Caenorhabditis elegans: one gene and its partner. The protein of the gene in region 1 interacts with the protein of each later gene in a pairwise test. Each region holds a gene or a part of one and is shown on either strand. Other genes may lie near its edges. The genes, in order: mom-1 and C02B8.3.

Region 1 (7,853 bases):
TTGTAACCTGCAAACAGGTTGTGAAGAACTCCATTCTTTGTTAGCCTGACATCTTCTCTGACTGGCACCAACTAGTATATATCCCTTGTTGCATCCATATTCTGCATTTGATCCAAATCGCAAATCACCAGCAGTTCGTATAAATCCATTTTCAATATTTGGAAGTGGGTGGCACATTGCAACTGAATAAAAACAAAAAAGTTCATTTTTTATATTGCTCAATAGACAAGATATTTTTATCACTCACTTGGGTTCACACAGCTCAAGCCACATTCTCCGTCGCACATACATCTTTTGTTTCTTTTACAATCTTCGTCTGCTATACACTCTTTTTTGCAATGTTTCGGCCGTTGTGATAGAGTAACTTCCGGACAAGATAGGGCCGACGCGTAGGTAATGGAGATGGCGAGTAGTAGTAGAAATCGCATTTAATTCATGTGATTTGGTACTATGAAAATTTTAAAAGAGAAATCCGCTTGAGTTCTTGCAAGACGGCATTCTTTCACCAGCTGACACGCAATGTATTGATTGATTGGGGTCTTTTCAAGGGTTCCCATTGTAAAGTTGCTCGAGTATCATGCTTGTCTGATCAATTATTTGCTGCGGGACATTGTGGCAAATAGGAACTGACTGCTGAAAAATTAGAGGTGAAGGTATTTTGATGTGATTTTTGCGGTTTTCACAACTTTCACAGGGTTACAGAAAAATCTTTATTTTTTTATTTTATTTTTCTCCAAAATTTGAATTCAAAAAAGGGGAGAATTTTGAGAAATATCAGTGAAGAAATACAAGTTTATCGCAGGGGCGACAAATCATATTTTTTGGCAAACGTCCTATTTGGAAATCGCCTTTTAGGTTTGAATGATTGTGGAAGTTTGAGATTTTGCAAAAAAATTGGTAGACTGAAAAATATAAAAAAACAGGAAACAGGTTACAATTGTAAATGTTTTGCTTATGAAAAATCCCTTAAAAAGTATTTGGCAAATTGAGTTTAGTTTCGGCAGATGGCCGAAAATGAAAATTTCTGTCAAATCGCCGCACTTTTAGAACAATAATTAATGCTTGCTATTTCAGAACTGTTTCCCCATAGTTGAATTTTAAAAAAAGTGCAAAAAACATTCTCGAAATGGAATAAATTGGACAAGTGAAAAAATCATTTTGAAAAATAAAAAAATATCTGGAGGTATGGGGAATCGAACCCCAGACTTCTCGCATGCAAAGCGAGCGCTCTACCCCTGAGCTATACCCCCGTACGGCATTTGAGTAAGAGACGCAAGTGAATATACATACATTTTCTCTCTCACCCATTGACAAACTGGTTGCCTCCCCGCGAGGTGTTCCTGTGAAGCGGGGGGGGGGGGGGTGTTCTGCGAGTTGTTGGTTTGCTGTTGAGATGAAGAAAAATAGCTTCTCGCGGACGAGAAAGTGCAGCTAATTTCATTTTTTTTTTTTTGGAAAATGGTTTTTTATTGCTCTCTATTATTGAGAAAACAAGAGATGATCTTAAACATTATTTTTTGCAAAAACTGTTATCTTGTCTTTTTTCATTTTAAATATGTAATTTGTAATTTCATCACATATCTGTAAAATGAACTCATCAAACAATAGTGCTGACCGTTGTAAAAATGAACCGCAATCTCCGAAATAAAACTTTAATTCTTTTAGGGACACTCAAATCTTCCCCCAACAAAACTATACTTTTTTTGGTTCCATTTGTTTGATTTACCATGTTACGCTTAAATGTACTTCACTTGACCGATCCGACCATAAAACTTTGGTTGCATGTCCAAGGCACATCTGTTGTGTGTGACCTCTCCCCACATTCCGGCGTAGCCTCGTTTACATTTGTCCCCTTTTGTTAGACGCAAGAACTATGCAAATTCGCTCTATTTCACTCGTACAGACAGTTGTTTTTGTTTTGGTTTGAATTGGGTTTTCTGGGTTAATTCTAGGTTTTTTCTAGCTTTTTAGTTTTTTTGCCGTTTGGTAATCGTTAATATTTCATCAATTTCAAAAATTTTCAGAAAATGGATAATGGTCACGGGTATGAAGAATTCGAATTATTAGAAGATGGATCGCTTGGAGAGTGCTCGACACAAGTGGCAAATGCAACATTTCTCACAATTTCAAAGTTGATATGTTTGGTCGTTGCATTCAAATTCATCAAACATATACGTAAGTTTTGATAAAAATATAAACTGAGACAAAAATACCTAACAAAATGTTTTAAAAACTTTGTTTCAAACAAATTTGTTTCTAATTTGTTGTTATGTTCAAATTGGAAAACACATGTGCTTGCTTTATTAATCTTGCCAAAAAAAAAATGACTAAAATTTTCACAAAGTAAGACTGATCTAGCTAGAGATAAGAGCTCCATGGTGAGACGGTAGTCTTAAGTGGAGTAACGCCAGTGCGGAAATTGTTAAAAACGACTTCTATGGTGCAAAAATAGCCAACTATTATATTAGCACTTTACGAAACTTCTTATTTTGTTTCAATAAGTGGTAAAAACTCAGTTTCTGCATCCATCTTTAAAAGTTGTCTATTGAAAAAATTTCCTTTGAATTTTATGTTCTTGTTTCAAACATTAATATTTAAACATTGTAGGGATTCGAGCATGCGACAGTGCTATATTTATCTCGAATATTGGCGAAAACTCAAAAATTGCCACATTTTGACAGTCAGAAAAAAGGTTCTAAAATTTTTTGAAAAGTTTTAACATGATATCTGGTCATTTTAGCACCACAGATGTGGTTTTTACATCTGCATACTCTTTTAGTAGTGCGGTTTTATAAACTAATTAACTAATTACTATTAACTAATAATTAACTAAATTAATAAATAATTAACTAATTACTAATAAACTAATTAACAAACTAAATAATTAACAGAGTTTCCTACTGGATAGAAAATTTTATCCACAGAAAAATGTTTCATAATTTGATAACCGATGTTTCAAATTATGTATGTATTGAAAAACATACTAAACCTATTATTTTAGAAGGAAAACGTGAAAATTTCGAAACCAAGTCATTCATTCGTTCGGGAATTCAAAAGTTACTGAGTATTTTTATAGTTGCAAAATTTAAGAAATCATAGTAGTAAATCAGTTTTGTGTGATTTTTTCAAAAACTGGTCAATTTCAGTCTTTTAGCAAATTAATTCCCCTTTTTGTAGCAATTTCAACAACGGTTCGTGTCTATGTACATGTCTTCGCCAGTACTTTCACAGTTATGTGGTTTTCAAGAAATCACCTACAATCGGCTATCATTTACAACATGTTCAGTTTGATATCGCTTGCACTGGCCATCAAACAATTTAGTGGATACATCATTCTTGCAGGGAACATCTCTCTTCTGATTGCATTGTAAGTATTTTTTTTATAAGTCAAGCGTTTGTAAAATTTGTGGGACAAATTAAAAAATTTTTAGGCAAAACTTCTGCCGACACTACAGATCCGAAGACTACTTTTTGTCCATTCGTGGAATTTTGATGATCCATATAATGAGACTGACCACGGTTGCCTTCAATCTGGAAAAAGCGAATAGCAACAAATTCCGATTTGTTCAGTTTTCCAGTTATGTTGAGTACATTTACTTCCCACCGTTCATCATTTTCGGGCCCTATTTGAGTTTTGAGCAGTTTTTCAAAATGAGAGACAAAAAGTGGACAGGATCTGAGGTTTGTTGTGAAGTTTTGGGAACTAAGTCGTAAGACTATTAGTAAGTTCTAAGTGTCAAAGTGTTAAATACGTTTCAAAATTTTTAATCAGAAAATTTTAAACCATGGCTACAGTTTTGAATTTGATTTCAGAGTTGACCTTATAGGAGCGCTACTTTTGAATAAAAAGTGTAACATAACTACAAACCAGCCTCCGATTGCTGTAAAACAGAACTGTCAGCAAAATAGGAAACTTCAATTAAAATTTGGCAATTTTTTAAAAAGTTTCGAAACCCCTAAACGTTTTTAGCAATTTGTAAGAACTTCAATTATGACGTTTAGTTTTTCGGGGACTTTTGAAGAATAATAATAAAAAATTGACCCGTGAGTCCTCCTTCAATTAAAAACCCGAGATTTCATTGGTAATAATAAGAATAATATATCACTATTTTTAGAATGAGCTCGGCTTCATTATTCAGTCTCTCCTTGCAATCTTCAATGCGATCACTCTGGCAATCATATCTTCGTGTCATTTTGAATTCTTCGAACCTTCATCTCAATTTATGGAAGATGCTCTGACAGCTATGTCGTTCCGGTTCAGTCACTATTTTGTCTGTCTAAGCACTCAAGGTAGCCAAACATTCTTGTCTGTTGAAGATAAACTGACATGTTTTTTCAGCATTTGTGTTGATGTTAGGATCAGATGTAGTCGTTGCCAATCCATTGAATATTGAATTCTCCAGATCAACATTACAAACGGTCTCAGAATGGAACAAACCATTTCATACATTCCTGCATGAAAGTGAGTAAATTTATTTTAACAAATGATCGGAAGTGAATCTAATCAACATATAATACATGAAGTCATGTTCAAATACACTATTTTTTATTGACTTTGAAGAAATCTTCTACGTATTGTTATTTGATTAGGGTTTTCTTCCATAGTTCGTTGTTGGCATCGGACAACAACGGCCAATAGAGGGCAATCAGGTGACATCGGGCAATTAGCGGGTTGCAGCAGGCTATTGGGGTCGGGCAACAGTGGGATGTTGCGGGTGAATAGCGGGCCATCTAACCTCAAATTATTTGAAAAACGTCGCCCGTTATTTCTCACCTACTTGCCCGCTATCACCCGCTACTCACCCGATAGTCACCCGATAGTCACCTACTGATATTCCGCTACTTGTCCATTTTTGCCTCATTCACTGTTAATGCTTGCGTAAGATCTATAAAGCAGATTCATTTTAATTATTTGAAGAGCTTTTTTTTTTAATCAACAAACTTAAAATTGGAAACAAACGATACATTTCGTTTTTTCAGATATAATATTTTTCAGATATTTTCAAAAGGCGGTTGTTCAATTCCACTGCATGTAACGTTTTCTTCACGTTTGCAGTCAGCTCACTTTTGCACGGTCTTGACTTCCAAATGACCATTACACTATTGGCTCTTGGTTTTATTGCCTATTCGGAAACTGGTAAGTGAATTAAGAGATTTTGCGGTCAAATTGAGGTTGAATTTAAAGTAACTTTTATCTATGTTATATGGAAACAATACATGTAATTTTATATATTTCAAAAGTTACTGCAAAATGTCTCTACTCCACTTGTATAGTTTAAGATTTTTTTTTCAGTTTTCCGAAAACGACTTTCTGCCCGATACTCAATGTGTGTTGCTGCCAAAGCCTGCCCTGTCCGTTCAAACAGTCTTTCCTGCAAGCACAGACACTCAAACGTGAGTAATTATTTTAAGCGAAGGGACACCCAATCGATTGCCCATTTACATTTGGCGCAGGGGGTCACCATAGATAGGTATCGCGCAGGGAAGATTTACCGCCTTTCGCTTATTTAGTAGGGCACGCAAATTAGTATGCTTAACTGTTAGAAACACGATAAAACACGAATAAATTAACCACGGGCCCTTTTTTGGACACATTTGGAGTTTGCAAATATCGCATGGTTTATAAATTTAAGAATTTGCAAGAGTTGTCCAAAATAAATTGAGCTAACAATAATTTTGAACGTTATGAAACGTTATGATCAAAACATGACGTTATAAATAGTTTTTTGTCAGAAAGGGTATACGTTCCAAGTCAAAGTTTACTTTTCTGAATTTAGACTTTTTTGACTTGATATTATGATAACGTTTAATGTTTGTAATTTGAAACATACTTTGTTTTACTACTACATGTTCAGTGAGTTTCAAAAAATAACAACAAAATCATGATACTTGTTTCATTTTACGTTTTATTTTCATTCAAAGTAGCAATAGAATTTTGAATGAACAAACCCAGAAAAAAATCAAATTTCTAGGAAAAATCTACATATTTGGAATAAAACTAACTAGGCAATGGTCAAAACACTAAGTGGCCATTTAGCCCAAGACGTAGTTAAGATAAATATTAAAATGTAAAGAGAATATTAAAATCAAAAAAAAAATCTTGAAGATAACAGAATATTTTCAAAGCCTGAGTTATAACACATTTTTTAAAGTTAGGTTGTGTGGAAAAGTCTTCTTCGAAACTGCTTATTTCAATATGCTAATTTGAACTTTTAGAAAAAAAAACCATTGAAATGTAGGATATTGTTCGTTTAATTTAGAATTAACATTTACTTCTGTCTAAAATTTTTTAAAAAGACGTCGAATAGTGCATGTAAATTGTAGCTTACCAAAAACAAATTTTCAAAACAATTTAGCTGCATATGACAATTTTATGACACTTTTGAGACCTTTTTCGAACTGCAATTAGAAAATTTATTTTAGCTCTAACAAACGTTGTTCTACATTTCTAAAAGAATTTTTGATTCATATCGTTAGATTATGAGATATGGCTGTTTAATTTCAAAAGTTTCACATTGCCGGACACTAATTAAAACCAAATCCGAGCCACGCCACCAGGCTCATAATCACAGCTCATTTCTTGTATTGCTCCACACGTTTCATTCAAGTTTCCATTTGGTAAAATATCATGGTTTCTTTCCAAATTAATTCCTTTTTTGAAGGAAACACTAAAATTGTTAACTTATTTTACAGAAAACAGGACGTGCTTTGATCATCAATTTGTTCTTCCTTATGCTTTCCATGTACCATCTTGTGTTCACTGGAATGACGTTCACCGACGACTATTCTGCAATTGGCTATCCTTTTGATCACGCCTGGAAGATTTGGGGATCTCATTACTATTCGAGTTTCATGATTTCTTTCCTATTTCTTGCCCTGTCTAAAATAATCTGAGGTTTTGAAAAGCTGAAATTCAGTTGTCAACATTTTTCAACAAAACCGTTTTCTATGCTTTAGTTCTCAGTCCTGGCCATGTTCTCTTACGAGCTAAAACTAAAAATCTATTTTTTCTGTTTAATGACTCAAACTCGGTTAAGAATTTTTCTTTGCAATTGTTTTAGTTACGATCTTTTCATCCTATGAATTATTCATTCCGCGTTGTACAGAAGCATACATTTTGATTTGCAAAATGTATTTACTTGAAAGTTAATCACACTGTGAAACACATTAACATCCATGTGAAAATAATAAAAGAACACTTTGGTTTTACACTAGTTTGCTTAAAAAATATTAGAAGCGTTGAAATATAAACTTGCGTTGTAAGCACGAAAACGGTCAAATAACCAATTTTAAAAAGATGACAGGGAATGTGGCGTGTCATGAAATTGCATGTCTAAAATCAGGAGCAAAGAGTGAAAATTATTATCAAAATATCTCAACTTTTAGAAAACTGCAACAATCAGTAAGAATTCACATTCTTTCTCTATTAGCTAATAATTCATTTCAATTTCCAATTTACTCATGATAAAGGTCTAGACTTCTCACGTTTCTAGCCACATATACATTTTATGTAACGAAACAGTGACGGTCCATAAGTTGAAACCAACTGCAGTAACTCGTCGTTTGCGTGGCGACACCTATGCACGTAAGATCTGACAAAAATACTCCTCTCCAAGCGTCTACCAAATATCAAAATTAGTTTGGTAAATAAAATAAAAACCAAAAGAGTGTATGAGTTCGCGTCTTTTTCTGGGTAGTTGATAGCCAACATTAAAAAATGCCACGGCTTCTGAGAACCAACCGATTTTTTTTCTGGTTTAAAACTCAAAATCAAATTCAGCTATGAATTTTTAGTAACGATTGAATTCATGAAATATTATGTCACAAAATAATTATTTTTGATAATAAAACAG
Region 2 (3,503 bases), 1.8 Mb from region 1:
CTATATGTTTTAGATGAATAAAATTAAGCCATGGTAGATAACGTTAGTTTTTCTTGCAGCATTGGGCTTTGACGCGTTTGTCATCGCTTCAGATTAAAAGTTTTTTTCCATTGTTATTGAATCAAGCAGGACTGAAAGATATTCAACTCAAAAACAATTGAAGCATTCAAAGGAAATGATGATCACAGGAATTCTGCAAATTTTGATAGTTCCCGTCATTTTAAGCGGGATAAATACTGAAAATTGTGATGTTCTCAATTCAAGGATTATTTGAAAAACACAATTAAATTATTGGAATTACTTCCGCAAAACTACAAGATTAAATTTCAATAAAGATGTTTTAGAAGATTTTTTTTTCAGGATTTCTTGGAAGCAAAGTGAAGAACAAATTTAGTTCATTTCAAGTTCGTTCTGTATAATTTTAATTTTTATGTTTTCAAAGTTTTTTATTATTGGAATTGATAAGTCTAATTTAAATTTTTATGTATTAATGTAAACTTGGACTTTCATCGACATTATGCTCTGCCTCAATGCTTTTCTTATTCTGGTTTTCCCATTAAGAACATAGCCTATCCACGTCACAGTAATGACCTTATTGATTACTAAAACAAGTTAAGCGAAAATTTTTTGTTGGCGTCTGTAAAACAAATCTGTTCGTAGTTGTTATAATTATAAGAAACAACTTTTTTTATAGTTTGGAAAACAACTCCCCATGCAAATTCTTTATTATGTACCCCTGAAAATTTAGCAATAAAAACTGCGGTAACAGTTCACATTTTTATTCTGATTGTTTGTAGCCTTACTGCAACAATTCTTGTGAAAATTATAAATAAATTAAAGGAAAAAGGGCATTCTTTGAACGACAGTACAGGAGAATTGAGAGAGTGAAGATGTTTGGAACATTCTGGAAGCACGAGTGAGGGCACGGTTTCGAACAACAAGGAGTAGGAGGATTGGAGCACAAATTAGAAGTTAACAGCTGGGATTGGGCCCTTGTTGAAGTCAAGAAAATCCGTCAACGTTTTCGGCAGGTTGCAACCGTCTCTTTGACACAAACATCTCAGGCTGACTTGGGATGGGTGGTTGGCTTTGTGGAACTGGAAGGCCTGAAATAAATGTCTCATTAAAATCTGTTTCAGTGTTTCTTTCTGTATTGATAGCTTACCTCTTGTAGACAGACATTTAAAACAGCGTATCCTGGAAGTTGGTTGGCAAACATTGTCAAAATAGTGGTGTAGTCGTCGCTGTCCATTTGAACTCCATTCACGTGGAACTTGTTGTAATCTTTTGGGGATGGCATGTAGCTACATAGTTGGTACACGGGGTCACTCATTGTATGACCTTTGGAAAGGTCGTCGGAGTCAATGGGCTCCCAGCAACGGATGAGCTTGGTGAGTTGATCTTGGGCATCTTGGACAGCGTTCATGGCGGTTGAACGGGAACCGAAGGCAGATGCCAAGACGAGAGAAGATATAAGGATTTTTCTCAACATCGAAGAAGCACGAAAGAGTTAAGCTGTAAAAGAATTCAGCTTTTGGCGAATACTGTTCTCAGCGCTGTTTGAATATGAAAGCTGAAAGGGCGGAGCAAGAATTCCATAAGGCGGGGCTTACAGAGTCTTTGGAAAAGAGACGTATAAGATATAAGAGAAACAAAAGTGCAGATTGAGTGACGAGGAGGATTGCAGGGATGAGCATCATATGAAATGAAACATCCCGCCCACTTTCGAAGTGTACATGGCACAAAACCGGTTACAGTGTGTACCTGGCTCTGACGTTGCCACTCCGTGACTGACACGCAACAGAATCTGGAAAAAATTTGAGAAAATTATCACTTGTTATGTCAGTATCCAAAAAAAATGTTACATATCTAATATATAATCAAGCGTTCATGTGTACACAGTCGAAGCCAATTTCTAATGCATTAGTTTTTGGCTGAACAGAAGTCGAGACAGCTTTGGATGAGCTCAGATGTTTTTGGGCTAATACGTCACTATATTAAGTTTAAGAAACTATTTGATACAAAATTTATAGAGTTAGTTTGATAGTTAAAGGAAAGAATCCAATTTCGGGGGAACATTTGAATTGTACTAACATCTAGAAACTCATTATTTTCAAAACGAATTTTCCAAAGTGGTGTAGTATAGGATGAATGATATGTGTTATGTTGGTTAAACGAGAAACATTCTGAATCTTTTTAAAAACTATGATTAATTTTCTCCCAGAAAACAGTGTCCTTTTTTGCAGTACCCATTTTTGCCATTTTAAGTGATACGAGTTGTGTACGAGACCTTACGATGAACTACACAATAAGCATGAAGTGTTGTGGTGCATTATATTGAGACAAACTCAATCTTACATTCATTTCAAAAATTATTGATGCACATATTTTGTTAATTAACGCGTTTCATAAAATATGTACACACTCATATATTTTATCAATTTCGCACAATGTTAATAGTTTCAAACAAACTTCCCATTTGTGATAATTTAGCTTCAATGAAAAAATCTTAATGTGCCCCTTTTTTATCTAACGAAAATCTGAGAAATGTTAACCGAAATTCAAAAAATCAAATCTTCTTTTCATTAGATTTTTTAAACTTTACCTAATTAATCCCTAAAAACCTTTTGCAATTGAAAGACTGAGAATAGAAATAACATGCGTTGATAAGCTTAGTTATTAATGTTTCTGAAGCTTTTCTAAGTAACCTCATAAGTGGCTTTTTTTCGTTTTGAGAGAAAATTAAATACTGCAATTTAGTAGCCTATTTTTACGTGATTTAAAAAATATGAAGAAACGTCAAAGCATATTACTGTTTTATCTGAATTTCTAAATTAATAAGCATGGTGCTCACAAAACAAAATTAATCATTTCGAAAGTCATGAAATAACGAATCTGCATTTGACCAGCGTGTGTTTTGAAAAGCAGGCATAGGAAGCCTTGATAATGTTCCATTCAATAAATTTATTAGGGCTGAACTTGTGCAAGAATCTGCAGATAAATGCCGATTATTGACTCCGACAACCTTTCCAAGGGCTATACAGCGAGTGACCCCTTCTTAGATTTTGAGAAAAATCCTAATATCTTCTCTCGTCTTGGCATCTGCCTTCGGTTCCCGTCCAACCGCCATGAACGCTGTCCAAGATGCCCAAGATCAACTCACCAAGCTCATACGTTGCTGGGAGCCCATTGACTCCGACGACCTTTCCAAGGGCTATACAATGAGTGACCTCGTGTACCAAGTTAGTAGCTACGTGCCATCCCCAGAAAGCTATAGTACCGTGTAAACGAAGTTCAGATAGCCAGCGCCGACAACATCAACATATTTTAAAAGTGTTTCTATGAGACACTCATTTCAAGCCTTCCAGTTCCACAAAGCTAATCATCCATCTCAAGTGAGCATGCATGTTTGTGCAAAAGAGACGGTTGCAATTTACCAAAGACGTTGACGGATTTCCTGGATTTTAATATGACCTCAATTCCATCTGTTGGTTTCTAACACG

The links.
Region 2: the proteins of mom-1 (region 1) and C02B8.3 interact in a two-hybrid assay, tested with the Caenorhabditis elegans proteins (one large-scale study listed by BioGRID).

What each region holds. Positions count from the first base shown.
Region 1 is NC_003284.9:6,291,100-6,298,952, forward strand, and holds mom-1 (Protein-serine O-palmitoleoyltransferase porcupine), read left to right. Parts: upstream 1-2,012; 5' UTR 2,013-2,027; coding exon 2,028-2,175; intron 2,176-3,177; coding exon 3,178-3,367; intron 3,368-3,431; coding exon 3,432-3,681; intron 3,682-4,115; coding exon 4,116-4,290; intron 4,291-4,339; coding exon 4,340-4,462; intron 4,463-4,996; coding exon 4,997-5,137; intron 5,138-5,293; coding exon 5,294-5,394; intron 5,395-6,693; coding exon 6,694-6,894; 3' UTR 6,895-7,206; downstream 7,207-7,853. Other genes in the region: Protein lev-9, read right to left, coding at 1-182, 248-428.
Region 2 is NC_003284.9:8,137,505-8,141,007, reverse strand, and holds C02B8.3 (DUF5354 domain-containing protein), read right to left. Parts: upstream 1,532-3,503; 5' UTR 1,427-1,531; coding exon 1,166-1,426; intron 1,107-1,165; coding exon 966-1,106; 3' UTR 765-965; downstream 1-764. Other genes in the region: C02B8.7 (uncharacterized protein), read left to right, coding at 3,129-3,287.